Lytechinus pictus: one gene and its partner. The protein of the gene in region 1 purifies or fractionates together with the protein of each later gene. This does not show direct contact. Links are inferred from orthologs where the notes say so. Each region holds a gene or a part of one and is shown on either strand. Other genes may lie near its edges.

Region 1 (10,206 bases):
TTTCGTGAAAATTGAGCAAAACTGTAAAATGTCATAACTTTCTTATTTTACATCTGATTTTGATGAAATTTTCAGTGTTATGCTTGTTGGATTTTTTTTTCTTTTTATTCAAATCAACTTTTTGTTGGGGTGTACTTGTCCTTTAATAATGTGAAGTAACATGTATATTTACTACATGTATAATATAATAATGTAGATATCTTCGTGTACGACACTTAACACTTAGACTTAGATCTACATGTGTCTTAGTCTAGTTAACGTAGACAGTAACTTTATTAATAGTCTAGATGATTATTAATTATGGACAGCAACACAACCAAAAAGACAACACAAATTGTGACTGCCGCCTGCCCTATTTTTTAGTTCAGTTCTTATTAACCCCCCTACATCACATGTAATGTACCTATTACTAGTAAAGTAGTACCAGTACAGTCAGACCGCAGGTCCCTATGCTAATGAGCAAAAAGGCCAGATTCATCCAAATCATCTCGTGGCTGAATCCTCCTCCTTGCAAAATCTCGTGATTCGTGAGATTTTCTTTCTCTTAGAATTTACCTGTTTTAACCTCAAGTTAAATGAAATATTATTGCACCATCAGATAGAGTAAATGTTACTCTTTCATATTGGTCATTTATTTTGTATACAATATTTTGTTAAATAAGTAAATTTCTGGCCTGAAAATGTGCCTCAAAACTGAATTTTCTTCCTCTGTTTTCTTTTGCAAATTGTGCAAAACTTTTTATTTTGAGCCTCAATGATATCTATATCACCATAAAGCTGAACTTCTGTACTTTCTCACAATGCCACTCTTGATATGCGGCACCTTTTAATCGGATCAAGATCACACTTTTCCCACCAAGGTACAAGACGAGATTTCTGAAATTTTGTACATGCATGAAATCCAGAGTTCTGATTGGCTGGATAAGGTTCACAGAACAACAGGCGCGGGGTATTTGAGGAGATTACCACATGGGAAGTGTGACCTTCCCATGAACCCAGGCACTGGAACCGTTGGAATTTGCCAGTGTGTGGTCTCTTTGACCAATCAGAGTGCAGTATTCTTGTTTTCATGCTGCTTTATGTACTTGGCAAATGAAAAGTGTGATCTTGACCCGATTAAACCAATTCTTATTTTGAAACCTATGTCATTTTAAAGCATACATATTCAGCTTTATCATGATCTAAAAATCATTTGGGCTCAAACAAAAATAAGCAGCTTTTTTCATGTGAAAATAATTATTTTGTAGCATATTTTAGATCAAAATTTTAACCTACAGTATATTACAAAATCTTTGAATGAATTCAAACACATGACCTAAAACTAAAAGAATGATTCTTCTTCTTTACAATGATACCAAATTCATGAAATTCGATGCACAAGTAGAGCAGCAAAGACCGAATGAAAAGAGGTGTTTTGGTCCGCATCAAGCTCATTAAATATGCAAAACATCTCAAGTCATGAATATCAATTATCACTTGGATGAAAGAAGCCACTTTCTTGGGACCTGCCGTCTGACTGAGTAGTATAGTCACGTATTGTATTACCGGACACTATTATGTTTCCGGACGCGCGTATCACTGCGTTCTAAAACAAATTCGTACCGTAAGACTTCCGCAATTCAATTTCACAGAGCAATACATAGAACAAGATTGCAAAAACAAAGCAAAAAATCAAACTTTTACCTAATTATCTCTAAAAATTACAGAAAATGCTTAAAATATCATATAACATAGTTTTGTATTAACAATTGATATATTTTCTAACGGAAATATGGGCCTGATTTGCCGAATTTCAATCTCGTCCACTCCTTCGATCGAATGACGAGGTGTGGGGCATTGTGGGTGATCGTTGACGGCTAGTTCTCAAGGTACCCGTGCGCGAGGTTTACCGTGAGTAGAGCCGTCGATCGGCAGCGCATCGATAGAACTTGATGAGCGTCACGATACGAACGCGTGCATATTATTATTGGAAAGTGCCATGGAACATGCAGCTAACAAGACAAAAAGTTATCAAACACGAATTTATTACCAACATCTGCTCAGATTCGATATAAAAAAAGCAAATAATACTTAGAATTTACTCATGATATGATAAAAGAAGAAAAAAATCACAAAAATTTGTTCTTACATCATTATAATCAAGGATATCTTTACCCGTCCGGCGCGCGTCCGGAATCATGATGTAATTTGTCGCGCACAAAAATAATGGTTTTTCGTGGAGGGGTATGCGGCAAGTGCGATACGAAGAAATAGGTTGGTAAATATAAAATAATGTTATCATATTCATAATTTTCATAATATTTGGAAAAGCAAGCGTGAATTTTTCTTGATTGCATTTCCTCTAGTTGTCATTTTTAAAGCACTGAAAATATTAAAGGTGTCATGTCAGGCAATAATAATACTATTACTAGGCCCTATATACACTGCCATCACTAGTACTTTTAATTTTATACAAATAGTGAGTCCTAGTCCTACTACTACTAGTACTAGTACTAGTCCTAAAGGCTAAGAGTTACATGCCCTACATCATATGGGAATTTCTATTTGATCATTTACAATAATTGTAAAGAAAACGTCTAAAATACATGCTACCCAGCACTGTAATCAGATACCACTGCAGTAGACGTTTCTCAGCTAGCGGGTTTGACCTCTAACTCGCCGACGTGCTTAGGGGCAACTCCGGTATGCGAAGCATTCAGAATCCGCTGCATTCGCTAACTGCTTCTCCGTTGACTCATGCTGAGCGCGATAGAATTTCCATAAATAAATACAATTTCTGACTATAGGAACTGCTAATACATAGGAAATATACTGGAAATTGGTGGTTTAAAAGTATTCTAGCTCACAACATCAAAGGCTTTCAATAACAAGTATTAAGTTGATAGAAACACTCACGTTTTTGTCATCGGTGATCGATAAAATTTGCCAAAAAGCCACTCCTAAAAATATAATCCGCAGCTAGCGGAAGTCGACAACATCAACAGTGAAGTGTGCAAGAGGTTCGCTGATTCCTCTCTCAAGGGCTATGTCCTATGCATATTGCGATACTTGAGGATCAGCGAGAAACAGTAGTCACAGAATTAGGGCCCCGTCCCCACGGCCACACGATCGGCATGGGAGAGGGGCTATTGATTGATTAATTGATGGATGGATGGATGGGGGATGGATGGATGGATGGATGGATGGATGGATGGGTGGATGGATGGATTGACTGACGGATGGATGGGGGATGGATGGATGGGTGGATGGATGGATGCACTAGCGTACCTACGGGGGGGGGGGGGGGGCAGAGGGGGCAGACTGCCCCCCTGACGAGTCACAACCCATGCAAGGGACATATGCCTGCCCCCCCCCCTGACGAGTCTTGAAGACCTTTTTTTTTGCTTGTCAAATTTTTATCTGGTACAAAATCATTTATTTGTGGTTGAAGACCTTTTTTTTTTTTTTTTTTTTTTTTTTGCTTGTCAAATTTTTTTGGCGGACGAATTTGCCCCCCCCCCCCCCCTGTGGAAAATCCTAGGTACGCCAGCGCCACTGGATGGATGGATGGATGAATTTTACTTGGTAAGTCACCGGCCACAACATAATAACATTAAAGGCTTTCAAAGGAAGACCCACGAAAGCTCGAAAGCTTATTTCCAGTGGGGTCCTCGATCGATATGTAGGCCAAAATAGAATTGAAATAATAAAAGGTAAATTTATACTATTTACACACAAAAAGGAAATCACAATTCACTTTAAGCAATGAATAAGATATAGAGATGATATATACAAGAAAAATATATAAAGAAGAGAAGAAGAAGAAGAACGGAAGAAGAAGAAATTAAGAAGAAGAAGAAGAAGGAGGAGGAGGAGAAGAATTACGGAAGAAGAATTGAGGAGGAAAGGAAGAAAAAGAACACGTAGAACAACAACAATAACAACACGAAGAGGAGAATAGAAGGAAAAAAGATAAAAGAAAAATAAGGAAAAGAAAAAAGGACATACATATCTATAAAAAAAAATCAATCATATTTATGTAAAATAAAATTACCTGACAGAGGAGAAAAGATCACGGTCTGTATTCAGGTTGGTATAACATATCATTTGCATATTCTCTTAATTTGACTCTCAATGCTCAATGAAGATATGTATATTTAAAAAAATAAAAAAATCCCAATGAGATGATGATAATAATAATAAATACGTTTATTGAAAAAGAAAGTGGAGGCTGAAAAAAAATGGAGTACAAAATCATGTTTATAAAGCATTCAATTAATTGGTTTCTCAGGTTGGGGTTTTAAAGATACTGATAGTTAAAATTCATAATCACGAGATCCGGCAAAATAAAATAAAGAAAAAAAATATGAAAAAAGTAAATAATTGTATTTTTTCAGCCTCCACAACCTGTTGAGCCAAATCAACGATTTATCGGTCCGGAGGGGTTGTACAGATGAAGCCTTAATTGAAACTCGTGCCTATTTTCAATTATTTTTTGTGAAAGGGGGTACCCATTATTATTACGGATTTTCTTCCTAAAAGAGACCCATGTTGTGTTCTAGTCGTTTGTAATGGCATGTGTAACTTTAAAAAAAAAATTGTTTACTGACGGACGCAAAAATTGAAGTTTGTTGGAAAACTGGGAAAAAATGACTTAAATGGGTTAAATTTACGAAAAGACAAAATCATTTACAAGGTATGTTTAAAGGTCTAGTTCACCTAGGAAAAAACAAGTTAATTTGAAGAGAAAAATAAAAAAAGCATAACACTGAAAATTCCATCAAATGATCGGATATAAAATAAAAAAGTTATGACACTTTAAAGTTTCGCGTATATTTTTCACAAAACAGTTGTATAAATAACTCATTAAAATGCAAATGAGAGAGTCGATGATGTTCCTGACTCACTATTTCTTTTGTTTTTTATTGTTTAAAATAACTATTTAAATTTTTGCAGATTTGACAATAATGACCCTCTTGATAGGCCTACTATAGTTATAGAATCACAAAATGTTAATGATAATTACTCAGTCATGTTCAGGGAGGAATAAAACTTTGTTTCACATGACAACGAGAAGAAAATTAGAATATTTCATATTCCATGTAATGAAATACAAAAGAGTGGATGCCATCAGCCCGGGGTCATCAGTACCCTCATTTGCATGCCGACCAGTATGTGAATAACTATTACGTGAAATTAAGCAAAACTTAAAAATGTTATAACTTTCTTATTTTACATCCGAATTTGATGAAAATTTATTTGTTATACCTGTTTGATTTTTCTCTTTTTATTCAAACCATCTTTTTGTTGGGGTGGGCTTATCCTTTACAGATTTTCAAGCTCAAACTGATACCCCAATACAATACCCCATGTTTAAAGATTTTTCACTAAAAAAAATGACTTAATAGATCGATCGGGGTTCTCTCAGCGGAAGACTAGTGTGAGTTGATCGAAAGCTAATGATGGGCACTTGTCGTTCATTTCTACTAGCCTAGGCTATACTTTTCTCTAGAGACATTTTTAGTTATATGGGTAAATAGAGACGAGTTTGTGTCTACGACTTCTAATTTTCATACTATTCTCTCTTCTTCATTCATTTCTCTCCCCTTTTCTCCTCGGTATTTTTTCTCCTCTTCGGTACCTTACCCCTCCCCTATGCCTTTTATACGTCCTATACGTTTTATAAAAAAAAATCCATACGTTTTATAAAAAAATAAGCCTCTAATAATTTACCTTTTAATATCTGACACACACACAAAACAGTCTTTCAATGAAAAATCTACATTTTTTTCCGAAAACCCCCAAAATAAAAATTGAATTGAACGGTCGATGTTGAACCATGGCCATGGACCTTATTTGGCACAGCGCCATCTCTGTCGAATGAACCCAACGAAATTTAGTCGATTCGATGAAGATATCGCCATCACGCGGGTGTCTTGAAAAAAAAGAAGGGAAATAATGATGGGATTTATCGCTTCAATTCAACCTCCACAGTCATCAGTGAGGTGGCAGAAAGATGACACCATTGCTTTCGTGGAGAAACAAGACTTGTCTAAGGGGACATTATACATAGCTGAAAGGTAAAAAAAACTAAGTAATAAGGCGTGCGCGCTGCGCCGCGCCTGTCGGGCATGATCAGAGACTCCATTTAGACGAAACTCTAGCCGTCATGATCGGGGAAGAGTCGGCCTGGACCCGGTACAAATTGCGCTGGGATTTATTCCTGATCCTGCAGCAAGCGCCGCGCCCGACATGCATGCATGCAGCATGGCCTGGTCGTTCCGGATTATTTTTGCCAGGGGGTCGGCTAATGAGAGAGAATGAAGCTTGTGAAAGGCTGGATAATGGGCTCCAAATTCGGTAGGCCTACTGATGCATGTGGTCTGATACGATCGAGCGAAGTTCGTGCAGCCTGCAGTGCAGGCTCCACTTCACTACCGCTACTGGCGCTAGCTACAGTCACTAGTCACTACATGCATGTACGTCTACGCTCCACCAACCCGAAGTTCGTGCAGGCTCCACTCCACAGAGTCCACTACCGCTACACTACGCTCCACCAACCCGAACTTCGAGACCGTGAACTCGATCTGATATTCCGAGTGACAAAGGACATGAAAGGTGGGGTTTTATGGGGGGGAAATATAAAATTCATGCAACATCACGATATTTAATAAAAACAATAAAACTAATAATAATATTCTTACTTTACACTAAGTTTCACTTCTTTTCCATGCTTCTATCAGTCTCAAAATTGGTGATTTAGTTTAGAGCCAACATGAAGTTCCTCACACATAAATAATTCGCTGCCAATTTCAAAACATCGCATGCGGATGCGATACATTGTATGTGCGAGGTGCCGGGTCCGGTCCAAGCTCGGACCCTCGCGCATGCGATGTTTTGAAACCGGCAGCGAATTATTTATATGTGTGAGGATGTGAAGTGGAGTGGAGCCTGCATGAACTTCGCTCGAGGTAGGACTGATATAGACAGCTGGCAGCAGTCTGTTTCGCGGAGTTTTTTAACATTTTTAATTTTTTTTTAATTCTCGTACACAGACGGCTCGCGATCGTGCAGCCGCCATTAGGGGGTTAACAATGCAAAATCCAGCTGTGAAGCCTGTGATCCCTCCGATGCCGGGACTCATCGATTCTTGTCTTTATTTCATAAAAATATATAAAAAGAACTGGACTAAATTAAAGTACATGTATTCCGTTTTGGCCTGAAATGGCATGCACCAAAACGGGGAAAAATAAACTTCAAAAGGAAAAAACCAGTGACTTTGGCTGTCGCGCAACGCCATTTTCACTGGTTCATCCGAACTTCATACATAAACATACAGAGATCAAGTCCCTGTACAGATCGGGTTAGAACTTCGGTCTCTGTAATTGTCGAGTGGAGCCAACGGAGTTCAGCGGAACAACCAATAACAGAGACAGAAGCTTTTGGTCTAGGTCTGATACAGTTAATGTTGTAAATCGGATCAAAAATCAGATCGAAAATCGGATCGGCAGTTAAGCTTCTAAAATCGAAATCGAATCGAAAATCGAATCGGCGATGTTTAAAAACAAAGGAATAATGACATCAAAATGTTGTTCGCGGTCGCGCGCATCTTCCTGACAAAGTCACAAAGACGAATGCATTGGAATGGAAGTCGCCAACATGCGCGATCGTTTGGAACATGTTTTAAAGCCAGGGGTTTTGAGGTGTTATTGCTTTAAAATAAACCGAGTGATTTTTATTAGAAAGATAAACGAAAGACGCATCTTCCGAGCAAAGGCGCAAAGGAAAATAAAATGAAAATATTTCTCATAGATCAGAGGTTAATGAACGATCGGCGGGACATCTTTTAGAAGTATTTTTAGGTGCTAGCGATTTAGAATTATTGGAATGATCTCTTACGACGCATCATCTTAAAGTCGCAAGTGCAATTAAAATGAAGTAGAAGACGCAAGCACGCACGATGATTTGAAATGTTATTAAAATGTTTTGGGTAGCTAGCGTTTTCAAATCAATTTGAAGTTCACGGAGAAGATGTCTATCATCAAAAAAGGGGGTAAGAGAGTAGCGCAGTGAGCTCCGTCGGTAATACGACCTTTCAAAGTTCAAGGTAGTGCTGCAAGTCAGGCGCCATGTTCGGGTTCGGTTCGGTTCGGCAAGGTTCGGCAGAAAATTGCCGAACATTGGTTCGGTTCGGGGTTCGGTAATGATAGACTGATAAAAGTTATAGTTCATTCAGGTATACGTAGCGTTTCGGTAGACAATTTGTACTTGATTGACTGCATGTGCTCGCGTGTCCTCTGTCACATCAAACCATTTTATCTCTATCTTGCTGACATGAAACTATGAAAGTTATAGCGCTCAACGAATCAACTGTTATCTCGAATTTGATTATCTGATGACAGATTTATTGGGTAACTCACAGTTCTAAAATGGCGACTCTTCCTCGTCGTCCATACCTGGACCACGCTTTGGATACTTGCCAAATTAACTACGCTCGCACTCGTACCGGTACCAGTTAGGCCAGCGCATGCAGTCCCCTTGTAGCGGGACTCTGAGCTCATGAATATTTATATTTACAGTCCGGCCAAACGTGATTGGCCATTGCATCACATACGAGGCGGCCAGCGCCAGTGCACTGAACTGCAGGCATAGTAGGGCCAGGGGCGTGTCGAAGAAAGCGTGCTTATGTAATGCGCCTTTCGCTAATTGGCTCGATGGGTGAACTAAACCACCAATCGCATGTCGCTGATTGTCGCATTGGTACATACAGCCACGTGCTTTGTCACCCGCGAAACTCAGCTCACCGATTGAAAAGCAATTGCCGAGATTTCTATGATTTTATTGGTCAGATTTCATTCGACCATGAACATACAGACAAAGTGGGATGCAAAGTTTTACGACTGTAATGGGACAGGGGGAGTAGAGTGATCATCGAATTGTTTATGGTTAATTTGAGAAGTTGATAAGAAAGGGAAAAAAGTAAAGATTGGGGGTCATTTTCCCCCAAGAGATGACTGTTTCCGCTTTATCTTCATTCAACTTTTCAACGAGGGGAAGGGGATCTTGCTATATGCTATACCGTAATCATTCATGAGTGTTTGATTTTTATTTTCATCTGATTGTTAATAATAAAAAAGATAACTTCACCTCATCTCATTTCTATATTATTTGTTTTGCGTCTCTCCTTTCCATCTCTAACAGTCACTCACTTTATTTCCCACTTTCACTGGATCTCTCGTTTTCAAAACTCTTTACTTCTCTCTAGAATCATGAAAACTAGACAGTAGCGAGCCGACACCTCAATAATAATGTTAATCACCTCAATCAGATCTTTATTCTCCGCCGCAACAATACACGAGTTACGATCTTCATCACGTATCGTAATTCGTAATATTAATGGTACTTCATCTTTCACTTTCAGTTTATTGAGCTCGTTCATTCAAAATACTTTGAAGATTTTCAAACAAGAATCTTGTTCGCCACCTAAAAACAACAATATTTAAATAATTAGATTTAACCAATGAACACTCATACAGTTTTGGTTTTCTTTACCATGCTTCGGCGATTCGGCCACAGAGCGAGAGATGATGAAAGCCAGTAAAATGATTATAGCGCAAGCTCGCGCAACATCATTCATCGGATCTCCTTTCTTAATCAGGGCCGTAAAAACCACAATGTCAACATGAAAATGAAAACAAAATCTAGTAACCGCAAAATAAGCGCATACTTCCAACATACAATTGCAAAGAAGATTAGAGAATGCGCAAATATAATGATTAGAAAGGGTGTAAACTTACATGTATAAATTTATTAGCTGAAAGCCGTTTTTTTTTTTTTTTGCCGAACTTCCGAACCAAGTCTTAGTGTTCGGTTCGGTTCTGTTCGGTTCGGAAGTGCCATGTTCGGCGAACTACCGTTCGGTTCGGCGGTTCGGCTACAGCACTAGTTCAAGGCGGCATCCGCTATCACCACGAGATTAAAAATAAAATGTATATCATCATAAACGATGTAAGAGAGCAACGCAATAAGCTCCGTCAATAGTACAGTCTTTAAAAGTTTATGGCGGGGTCAGCTATCACCACGAGGTTGATAATATAAAATGAATATCATCATAAACGATGTAAGAGAGTAACGCAATGAGCTCCGTCAGTAGCACGATCTTTAAAAGTTCACGGCGGGGTCCGCTATCACCACGAGGTTGAAAATAAAATGTATATCATCATAAAC
Region 2 (10,196 bases), on another chromosome or scaffold:
ATTTTTCATAAGCATGAATCATAGCTAAACTGTGCTAACCTATCAATCCAAACAAAATGATTTGTTAGCAGGAGGATTGACAATAAAGCAGATTGCTTAAAAAATTACAACCCCACATTCAAGCACCTAATTTCATCCCTTACATTATTATGAGTTGATCTCCGAATGAGATAGTACATGATGACTTTACAGTCACAGATGTCTTGAAACTGTCTGCACGAATTTGACTTTTTTTCTCTCGTGGGTGCTTTTTCATTAATAATATTAAATAAAACATGAATAAAAGTTCAGTTCTTTTTTTATATTTAATAAGACCTTTGTCATGTAAGCCTATGTCTTTCTATAATGGTTGGAATACCTGTCTGATTCCACTTTCTTGTTAGTCTTCATTAGAGAGTTGGTGGCTGAGTTGGAAAGAGAGCGTGGACCGGAGTATTTATCAACTGTTACCTTGCTGGCGTATCGGTGCATTGACTTTTCATGGGGCTGGGAAAGAAAAAAACAAGACTATGAAAGGGACAGTCAAATCTCGCAGCAGGTATGGATTACCAGAGAAAGGTGGAGCATGGAACTCATTCCTAGCAAAAGTTACCACCCCCCCGCCAAAAAAAAAAACACAAAAAAAAAAGAAAGAAAATAAACTGACCTGAAATGAAGAGGCCTCTTTGTGGCTGGCTGGGTTCATTCCGGGTTTAGACTGTGCGATAAGGAAATATGGGTAGAAGCAAGTCAATGAATATGCAAATGGGTGTTTCACATACATGTAGTTGTTTGTAAGTTATGATGACTTAACGCACGACTGGTGACCCTTTTTTGTGCTAAATGGTATATCCCTCTGTAGCTGACTTAGCACCTAAGAACATGTCCCAGCTGTACATTAAGTCATGAACAGCTTTATGGAACACCCACCAGGAATGACAACACAACGTGAATGTGAAAAATTCAAAGAATGTCAAGATCTAGGGGCTGAAAGTGATAATGGTATAAACTTAGCCGTCTAATCATGGTTACTTCCATAAATCATTTTATTCTGATTGGTTGTTAAGATTTTTCAACATCATAACCAGGCATTGTATTGGATGGCAAAGTTCATTTTTATACAACAGGGCCCTAGAACAGAAAACATCTTTGGAAGCACGAAGAATAGAGGAGATTGGGTAAAGAATGACACAATCGAAACGAGGGGAAGATACTTAAATAAAAGACAACTTATTGTGATAACAGGCATGATTTACTCAATCACTTTATGATTGGTTAATAGGACATCAGCAGGCATCTACTACATGTATTCGGACAATATTGGCCCTCTCACTTGGTAGATTTCTGGTATTCCATTCTGAGCCACCCAATATCATACATGTATAACATGTGGCCCTAGTGGTCAAACCCATATAGTAGCCATAAAAACGGATATGTCATACTGAAGCTTTTCGACATGCACTCATCAGAGTCTAATAACATGAGACAATGGTCACAAGTCATTTGGTTCTATTATACAAGTACATACATTGTTTCACTCTAGCATTCTGGTCATTCATGTGATTTTACTCCGCAGAGTACATGTAAAAAACCTTCAGTACATGTATGTCCGTTTTTAAGGCTGTTTCAATACGATTTTCAGTACCAAACGCGTATTCATATCAGTATTTACTTTACCTGAGGGTTACACGCTCGTACAGCATTGAACTTCTTTGTAAAATCTGAAAGATATTGAATATTTTTCATGTTTTTATTTTACAACAGCGATAAAGAATGTACATGTAGCAGAAGCAGAACAAGTATATATATTTATCAGGAAAAAAAGAAGATAAAGACAGCAGTGGGGAGGAGGAAAAGAAGAAGATGAACGTGAACTTATCTTCAACAGCATCAGACCATCGTGACATCACCAGAAAATTATGATCGGGATGTCAATAATATCACTAACCATCAGTATCACCATAAAAACATGAACATGTATGTAATTGCTTGGCCAAGTTCACAGCAATACATGGAAGCAAACAGTAAGAGTCGAAGAAGATCAAACAATAAAATTAAACTTGCACAAAAAGATGCATATTTTTTACTACAATCTTGTCCACTAACCTGTGCTTTCATCTTCCCAGTCATAATAGTCATCATCATCTTCTCCTTCATCATCTTCATCCCATTCTGCCTCATCTAAAGATGCTTCAAGCACTAGGAATTCATCAATCGATAGAGAAAATGAAAAGATAATGACAACAACAAATAATGGAAATGATAACTATAACATCGTAAACCAGCACCATTATCGGCATCACCATATTCAGTAAATAATAATAATGCTAACAAAAAAAAAGAAAAATCATAATAATAGTAAGTCAATTACATGTACATGTAGTAGGCTTGGGTTTAACATTTTGTCATTTGTGCCTGTTAGTGACTTTTTGTTTATAATTCTGAACTGCAAAACATTTGAATTGATACAAAATCAAACTGCAATTCTGATTTAATTTATTTGGTCCTCTATTTTCTTTGAAAATAGCATAATTTGCAAGTATTTTGATATTCTAAACCTGTATTAATCCATCAAGTTATCTAGAGCATGCAATAGCCAATGGCATTGGTTTATCTAGTCAGACAAAAATAAATCCACAGGTAGCTTTGATGCTAGACTTGTCGCAAAATCAAGTTATAAATATCAACGACACTACAAGGGAAAACTGGAAAGCCAAAAGAACGCGTATACAAGGAAACACTTGGGAGGGGCGCCCAACAATATTTCACATACATGTACTGTATATTCATTTGTGGTTGTGTATAAAACATATGGGGGACATTGTAGACGAATAAGGAGGGGTGATTTTGACAATAATTTTTTTTTCATAAAATGCTAAAACAAAATTAGAATATACTGTATCTTAAGAGATTTCAGGGAAAAAGTGGGTGGCATTATTCTCATATGTCGCCCATGTGCACTTTCCCTATCCCACCCATCATTTTCTCCAAATGTAGGCCTATTACATACAACCGCATGCCAATATTATGCGAGAGTCTGTTGGGTGCCCTTCCCCATGTAAAAAAAATGAGTGTGTCACAAAATTCCTCAAATGAGCAGTCTTCTCCTTGCCGTGTCTTTTCAGTTTGAAACTGCTCCCTTTGATATTAAACATAACTCTTACATACAGTACATACATATAAATCCAAGGCTAAAAAAGGAGTATCAGAATTGAATCCTACTGGAAGTAAAAAAAAAAAAGAAGACAGTAGGTGGTTTCAAACCGCCTCGATCACAAGAATCCCCGTTAAATTACGAGAACTTTTTTAGGCTGAAAAATACCCATTAATTATTCCTGCATTCACACCGCCCTGAAACATACCCTTCGGGATAAGTTCCTGAAGTTACGAGCATGCGCAGTATGGTCTGATAAGCAGCAAGGCGCGAAATTCAAAATCACTAGCCCAGCAGCAACCCATGCACGGCGCCGCACCCAACGACACGCTGGGCTAAAAGTTCCCGTAATTTGCTTTCAGACCGCCAAAATACCCACGACCTTGGAAAAATCCCCGCGAAAGTTCTCGTAATTTCGCCAAGTACATGTACCTACTATTTATCGGGTATTTTCTTTCGGGGATATTACGCGTAGTTTGCTTTCACACCGGGGTAAATTTCCCGATCAGAGAATACCTGGAACCGGCGAACTTCGAGGCGGTCTGAAACCAGTGAGTTTGGGTTTCGAGGTGGATTCTTATTTTATCAGTGGAGAGCACGGGATAGCTTTCCTGCAAAAGAGACACTTGTAATTACATGTACATACAATAACATCATTAACCATGAATTAACTAATTTGCTCCCCCCAAAAAAAAAAGAAGAAAAAGAAAAAGAGAAACTAAATAGATTAAATTGATATTAAGTACAGAATATGAGAAAGATTAATTAGGAAAGACTCCCATCATGTCCCCTCCACTAATTAAAACAATTCCTACAACAAACATCCCCTCTCTTGTTCTCCATTTCTTCCTCTTCTTTTCTACATGTACAAATACATGTACTTCAAGTTGGATTTGAACCTCTCGATCACAGCTGATGTATCTCCAGTCTGTCGCCTAACTCACCGAGCAAGCAGGAATTGCTGAAAGCAATGGGTTTCACAGCAATTATATGCCGATATTGCGACTAGTCTAGTCTCCAAGAGTGTAGTGAATATATTTTTCTGACTAAATAAAATGATGCGATCAGGAATAATTCAATACACACACTCAATCCTGCACGAAACATTGCTGGAATACCTTATACCGCATCTATTGAAAAAAAGTACTGTACATGTATATTGTCTTCCTAGCTTGGATAAATTGATATATACAGCATCTGTGCTATTTGTGCTTTGCTGTGCCGATGCAGTGACTATTAAAAACACTATTCCCATGCGTGAACATAATGCCACGCAGACCAAAAAATGCCTTTTTTTGGTATGTATCCAACTTTTCTTTCCTAAATCTCTTAGATATATGTCATATATCTGTACATACCCTTTCCATTTACCATAATTTTTTTAGTTCAAGTTCAATGGAGGGAACATAATGATGGAAGTCTTGTCAAAGATTGTTAACTATTTCTCTTTGAAAAATCAGAATAAGTTAAAACCTTTTTGGGTGAGATTTCCTTCCTCAATCTGAGCTGTAGGAAGAGACACCTGATTTCTTAGTGGGTGCATCCTAAAATGAGATAAGCATACAAGAGAAAGGTTATAGAAACTGTTCACAAACAACCAGCTATAAACATAACATATACAGACATTAACGAAAGTGAGCAAATATTGAAAAAAAATGGTTTTTTTTTTCTATTAACCCTAAAAGGACTGGAGGGCATCATGGCCACCCCCCCCCCCCCCCACTTTCCGCAATATTTCTAAAACGCAAAAAAAAGCATCGCAAAATTCTGTGACTTTTTTCACGCTTCGTGCGATATTTCTGAAACGCGAAAAGATACATGTAGCACCGCAAAATTTTATGACTTTTTTCTTTGTAATCTCAACTTTTGAGACCAATTTCGCGACCTACGGGTATAGCATCGCGATGCCACATGACTTTTTATGAGACAATGTCATGCCGAAAATGGCTAATTTTTATACTTTGTGTACGAAGTCTAGGGGAGTTGATATTCACAAAAGGGTGAATTTTTTTTTCTAATTGGTCTGCTTAATTACTTCAGGGTTTAATTTAGTTAATAATGGTCTGTAATAATTCCCATTGAAAAAAACAATGAAAAACAAAAGATGAAAAAACAAAGAAATACATAAGGAAAAAATTGGCTTTCGCAATTATTCTTTATGGAGACCTTTATTTACAAAGATGACATTTCAGATGTCATCTTTATCTGGAAAAAAAGAGAAAATTTGAAGTGAAATCGGGTGTTAAATTTGCAAATAATGTTTTTCACGAATAAATTTGCATATCTTATTCATAACAAATAAAATATAATTATTTTCAGAATTCTTTTTATACTGGCTTGTACTGTATGTGGCAAAGAATGTGCGTGCCAAATTTTGGCACGATCGCGCGAACGGCGGCCGAGATCAGAATTTGGGGGGCCCAACGTTCTCGCTACCACGCGTCACGGGCTACGCATGCGGTCCGTAGATGCAGTCGGTCATTGACATAAGAAACAACACGCATTCACAAAATTAATCGCACTTTCTAAGGATGTAGCGATATCGATCTGAACATTGGAAACTATGGAGTTAATTTATCGATGTAAATAATCTATAAACTGTAAGTATAAAATGAGATTGACTTCAATTTTTAAATTATCAGTAATTGCCTTTCTGCTTCAATCGCAATTCGCGCAACCGTTACGGCTGTGTGGCCGGAGAAGCATTAAATAGACATAAAATGTGGTGCATTTAGCAGCAATCTAAGCTCGTCGATATTGATATTTTCGATAACTACCGCGCTTTGCGCGGGAGGGGGGACACCCCCATAGCCCCCACCCCCATTTTTTGCCATAGAAAAACTATGGCAAAAATAAGTCTGGCAAAAGTTTTATGCAACGGGGCCCAGGTGAAAATTAAGAAAGGCTGTTCCAGCATGTTTGATATGCTCACAATGAGGCTCAATATCTGTTCACAAAACTGTTGGAATTTTCAAATCTAGAAGTCGAGTTATTGTCATCTTTGTGATACAAAAACAGGGCTTTTTGTGGACAAAAGACGATTGCAAAATCTTATTATTCTCTTTGTTTTGGGAATGGCACACTTTATATAATACATGTACATAGCTTATGGGGAATTGTACAAGCTTTTTATTTAAATCTTAAAGTACTCAGATTGATTTGGCATATGACTACCCCTGGATGATTACCCCCCCACCCCGACAATTACCCCGGACAATATTATTGTCTCAATATTTATTCTCATTATTATTAACGTCTCATCATCACTATTGCCTCATTATTGTCTTATCTTATTTCATAATATCTTCAAAATAATAATTAACACCATAACAAAGGTCCATAATCAGATATCAAATTCATGAAACCTATTTCTAAATTAAATTCATGGAAGGAGCTTTCTGTGCCATTCAAAAATACGACTTCCATTAACAATACCATATTCTAGACATTCAGACACATTCTAACAAAAAATTACTTATCAAACAAAATGCTTGAAGTTTACTTGCAGTTTTGCTCTTAATACTTATTTCGCACGAATTCTACAAAATTATTTTCAAAATAACAATTTAAATTTCATAATTAACAGAGCTCAAATCGTAATTTAAAAAAATACAACGGCTGAAACATACTGTGTCTGAGTACCGAGACTAATCTCGAGCCCATCGCAGCAGGGATGACGTCACTCACAGCTGTTCCTATACGCTCAAAACAACCCTGCTCGATCAGTCGCGTCAGATTCACAAACACCTCACAACACTCAAAATTGAAGTTCATTTCCGCCGGCTCTTAGCTTTACGAACCAAATTCAATTAAACTTTCACAAAATGTTCTCAAATATTCAATTTCATTACTGACCGAGTTTCGATAAGATCCGATGATTTCGAGAAGGCGGTTTCAAGCAAAGAAAAATTAATACCTTAATGTTAGGTCCTTCCATCCCACTATGGTACATTGTAAGTGAAACTCTGTGTTGTTTATTATATTTAATGGGCAATTTTTTAATAAATGATAAACAAATGAGGACAAAGCTCGCATATTTCGAGTAAGAATAGCAGCGTGTGTGTGGTTGACGCGGACGTGATTTTTATCAGCTCTAATTTTGGAAGTTTTTAATATATTTTTCATCCTTTTAAAATCCGTATTTTTAATACTATTTGAATAAATAGATGACTTAGGTGTCATATTACAAGCCAGTAAAAACTTTGATCGTTTTTGATGTACGAAAATTGAGGATTGATTTGGATTGAAAATTTGTTCTCCTTCGTCGGTCATCGTTTGTAACTGCGTCCCGCTGTGAACGGGGATCTACGTGCGTACCCGGCCAGCCGGCCCCGGTACATAGGACCTGGATTTCGTGTGCAGCACTCTTCCGGTACCTAAATATGGCGGCGAGCACTACTTGAACTGACGTCGACGAAGTTATTTTCCTTCATCTGTTGTGTGATAAGCGGTGTCGTGAGTTTATTTATATTGCCGATTTTACTGTTTATATTTATTAAAGACTTATTTGCAATATTTCGTCAATGAGGTGTGTTTTATGACATTTTTAGACATTTGAAACTGTGGTTCTGTGACCGTTTCATCTGTTCACTACGATTTTTACGAATACGATTCCATACTTTCGTTATTGCATGTGAACTTGAACTTAGTCAAGAGTAGATGTACAGTGAATGAATATTGCAATATGGATGCCCAAAGTGATCCTAAAGGAAATACGAAAGTAACAAAACCATCAAAAACTTTAAAACCTAAGTCACGACGTAAGGACACTGATGTAGAAACAAGTGGAATGCCTCTGGCCGTCTCACCTGCATCACGCGATTCAATATAGCAGCAGTGCTGATTTTGAAAACTACTATAACTCGCACAAGATGTTCAGTGATACTTGGTTACTCTTATTTCCACGTTTTATGAACTAGACCAATACACTTATAGAGATATGATGGCAATTCAACAAATACCCCCAACGTGGCCAAAGTTCTTTGACCTTACATGACCTTTGACCTTGATCATGTAACCTGAAACTCGCACAGGATGTTCAGTGATACTTGATTACTATTATGTCCAAGTTTTATGAACTAGACCAACACACTTTCAAATTTATGGCTGTAATTCAACAAATACCCCAATTAGGCCAAAGTTCATTGACCCTAAATGACCTTTGACCTTGATCATGTGACCTGAAACTTGCACAGGATGTTCAGTAATACTTGATTACTATTATGTCCAAGTTTCATGAATCAGATCCATAAACTTTCAAAGTTATGATGGTAATTCAACAGATACCCCCAATTCGGCCAAAGTTCATTGACCCTAAATGACCTTTGACATTGGTCATGTGACGTGAAACTCATGCAGGATGTTCAGTGATACTTGATTAACCTTATGTATAAGTTTCATGAACTAGGTCCATATATTTTCTAAGTTATGATGACATTTCAAAAACTTAACCTTAGGTTAAGATTTTGATGTTGATTCCCCCAACATGGTCTAAGTTCATTGACCCTAAATGACCTTTGACCTTGGTCATGTGACATGAAACTCAGGCAGGATGTTCAGTAATACTTGATTAACCTTATGGCCAAGTTTCATGAACTAGGTCCATATACTTTCTAAGTTATGCTGTCATTTCAAAAACTTAACCTCAGGTTAAGATTTGGTGTTGACGCCGCCGCCGCCGTCGCCGCCGCCGTCGCCGTCGCCGCCGCCGCCGCCGTCGGAAAAGCGGCGCCTATAGTCTCACTCTGCTATGCAGGTGAGACAAAAACTGAAGATATTGATTCTTGTGCACAATTTAAAAAACCCTTCAACAAGAACCAATCATGTATAGAATGTGAAAGATGCGAAGGATGGTTTTGTGCAAAATGTTGCGCCCTCTCACCGGATGAATTTTTACTTTTTAGAAATGTTTTAACTGCACATTGGTTCTGTAAGATATGTGAAAAGAAAGCCATGGAAGCAATCAAATGTGACCAAATTGTAGAAGAAAGATGCAAAAATAATTTAAGTGACACAAGAGATAGATTGTCGAAACTTGAAGTGATGGCTGATCACTGGAAAGAAGTTGAGATTCAGTACACAAAAATTGATGTTGAATTAAAGAACTTACGAGAAGACATGAAAATCTATGGCCATGAACCACAGGATACAGTATCTCTGATTCAGTGAAATTGATTGTTAATGAATGCCTTGACGAGGAAAAGGAGAAAGACAAAAGAAGGTGCAATGTTATTATCCATGGCATACCTGAAAAAGAAACTGATGATAGGCAGGATAAATTAGATGAAGATCTCGCCAGAGTTTCTTCAGTATTTGATATTCTCAAAATTGACTGCGAGTGTGAGTTCAAGACTTTAAGACTTGGAAAAGTCGGTCAACCTGGCCAAGACTCTAAGCCACGTCCTCTATTAGTAAAATTACCCAGTAGCTCCATCAGGGATAGCATATGTAAGCGTGCTATTCAACTGAGAAACGAATCATCAATGGAGGATGTGTACATCCAGCCTGATCGTACGAAGAAGGAGCGGTCAATAAGAGCAGAGTTGGTGAAGGAGCTGAAGAAAAGACAGTTGGCAGGTGACTCCACCTGGAGGATACAGAATGATAGACTCGTGAAAAAAACACAAAACACTGAAATTGATAAAAACCAAACCGAATCGAGATCCTTTCGAGAAGAAAACTAAAACACATCGAAAAGACTATCAAAATACCACATCTTCAGTTTCTTCTGATCATTTTGATGTACATGTAGCACCAGAACACCTTAGATGCATGTATAGTAATGTAGACTCACTTCTTAACAAACGGGAAGAATTGGAAATACGAATTGACTTAGAGAAACCTGATATTATTGCATTGACTGAGATCTTTCCCAAAAACTCACTAACGGATACTGAGCTATTTGAATTTAATTTGCCGGGCTACCGACTTTTTTTACCAAGCAAACACAAGAGGGGAGTAGCTATTTATGTTCTCGAACACTTACAAGTTCAAGAACTTTTGCCAATCTCATGTGAATTTGAAGAAAGTGTGTGGTGTCTTCTGGAAACTGCTAGGGATAAGA

The links.
Region 2: the proteins of methylosome subunit pICln-like (region 1) and serine/threonine-protein kinase RIO1-like purify together in Homo sapiens (affinity purification with mass spectrometry; 3 studies listed by BioGRID and IntAct, with this or other methods). This does not show direct contact. The link is inferred for Lytechinus pictus from reciprocal best matches to the Homo sapiens genes CLNS1A and RIOK1.

Annotation. Positions count from the first base shown.
Region 1 is NC_087260.1:17,723,010-17,733,215, forward strand, and holds the start of methylosome subunit pICln-like, read left to right. Parts: upstream 1-5,848; 5' UTR 5,849-5,937; coding exon 5,938-6,059; intron 6,060-10,206. Other genes in the region: LIM and senescent cell antigen-like-containing domain protein 1, read right to left, coding at 2,896-2,906. UniProt on the Homo sapiens protein: Involved in both the assembly of spliceosomal snRNPs and the methylation of Sm proteins.
Region 2 is NC_087261.1:7,179,095-7,189,290, reverse strand, and holds the start of serine/threonine-protein kinase RIO1-like, read right to left. Parts: upstream 4,677-10,196; coding exon 4,607-4,676; intron 2,179-4,606; coding exon 2,086-2,178; intron 1,701-2,085; coding exon 1,657-1,700; intron 698-1,656; coding exon 647-697; intron 487-646; coding exon 359-486; intron 1-358. UniProt on the Homo sapiens protein: Involved in the final steps of cytoplasmic maturation of the 40S ribosomal subunit. Involved in processing of 18S-E pre-rRNA to the mature 18S rRNA. Required for the recycling of NOB1 and PNO1 from the late 40S precursor.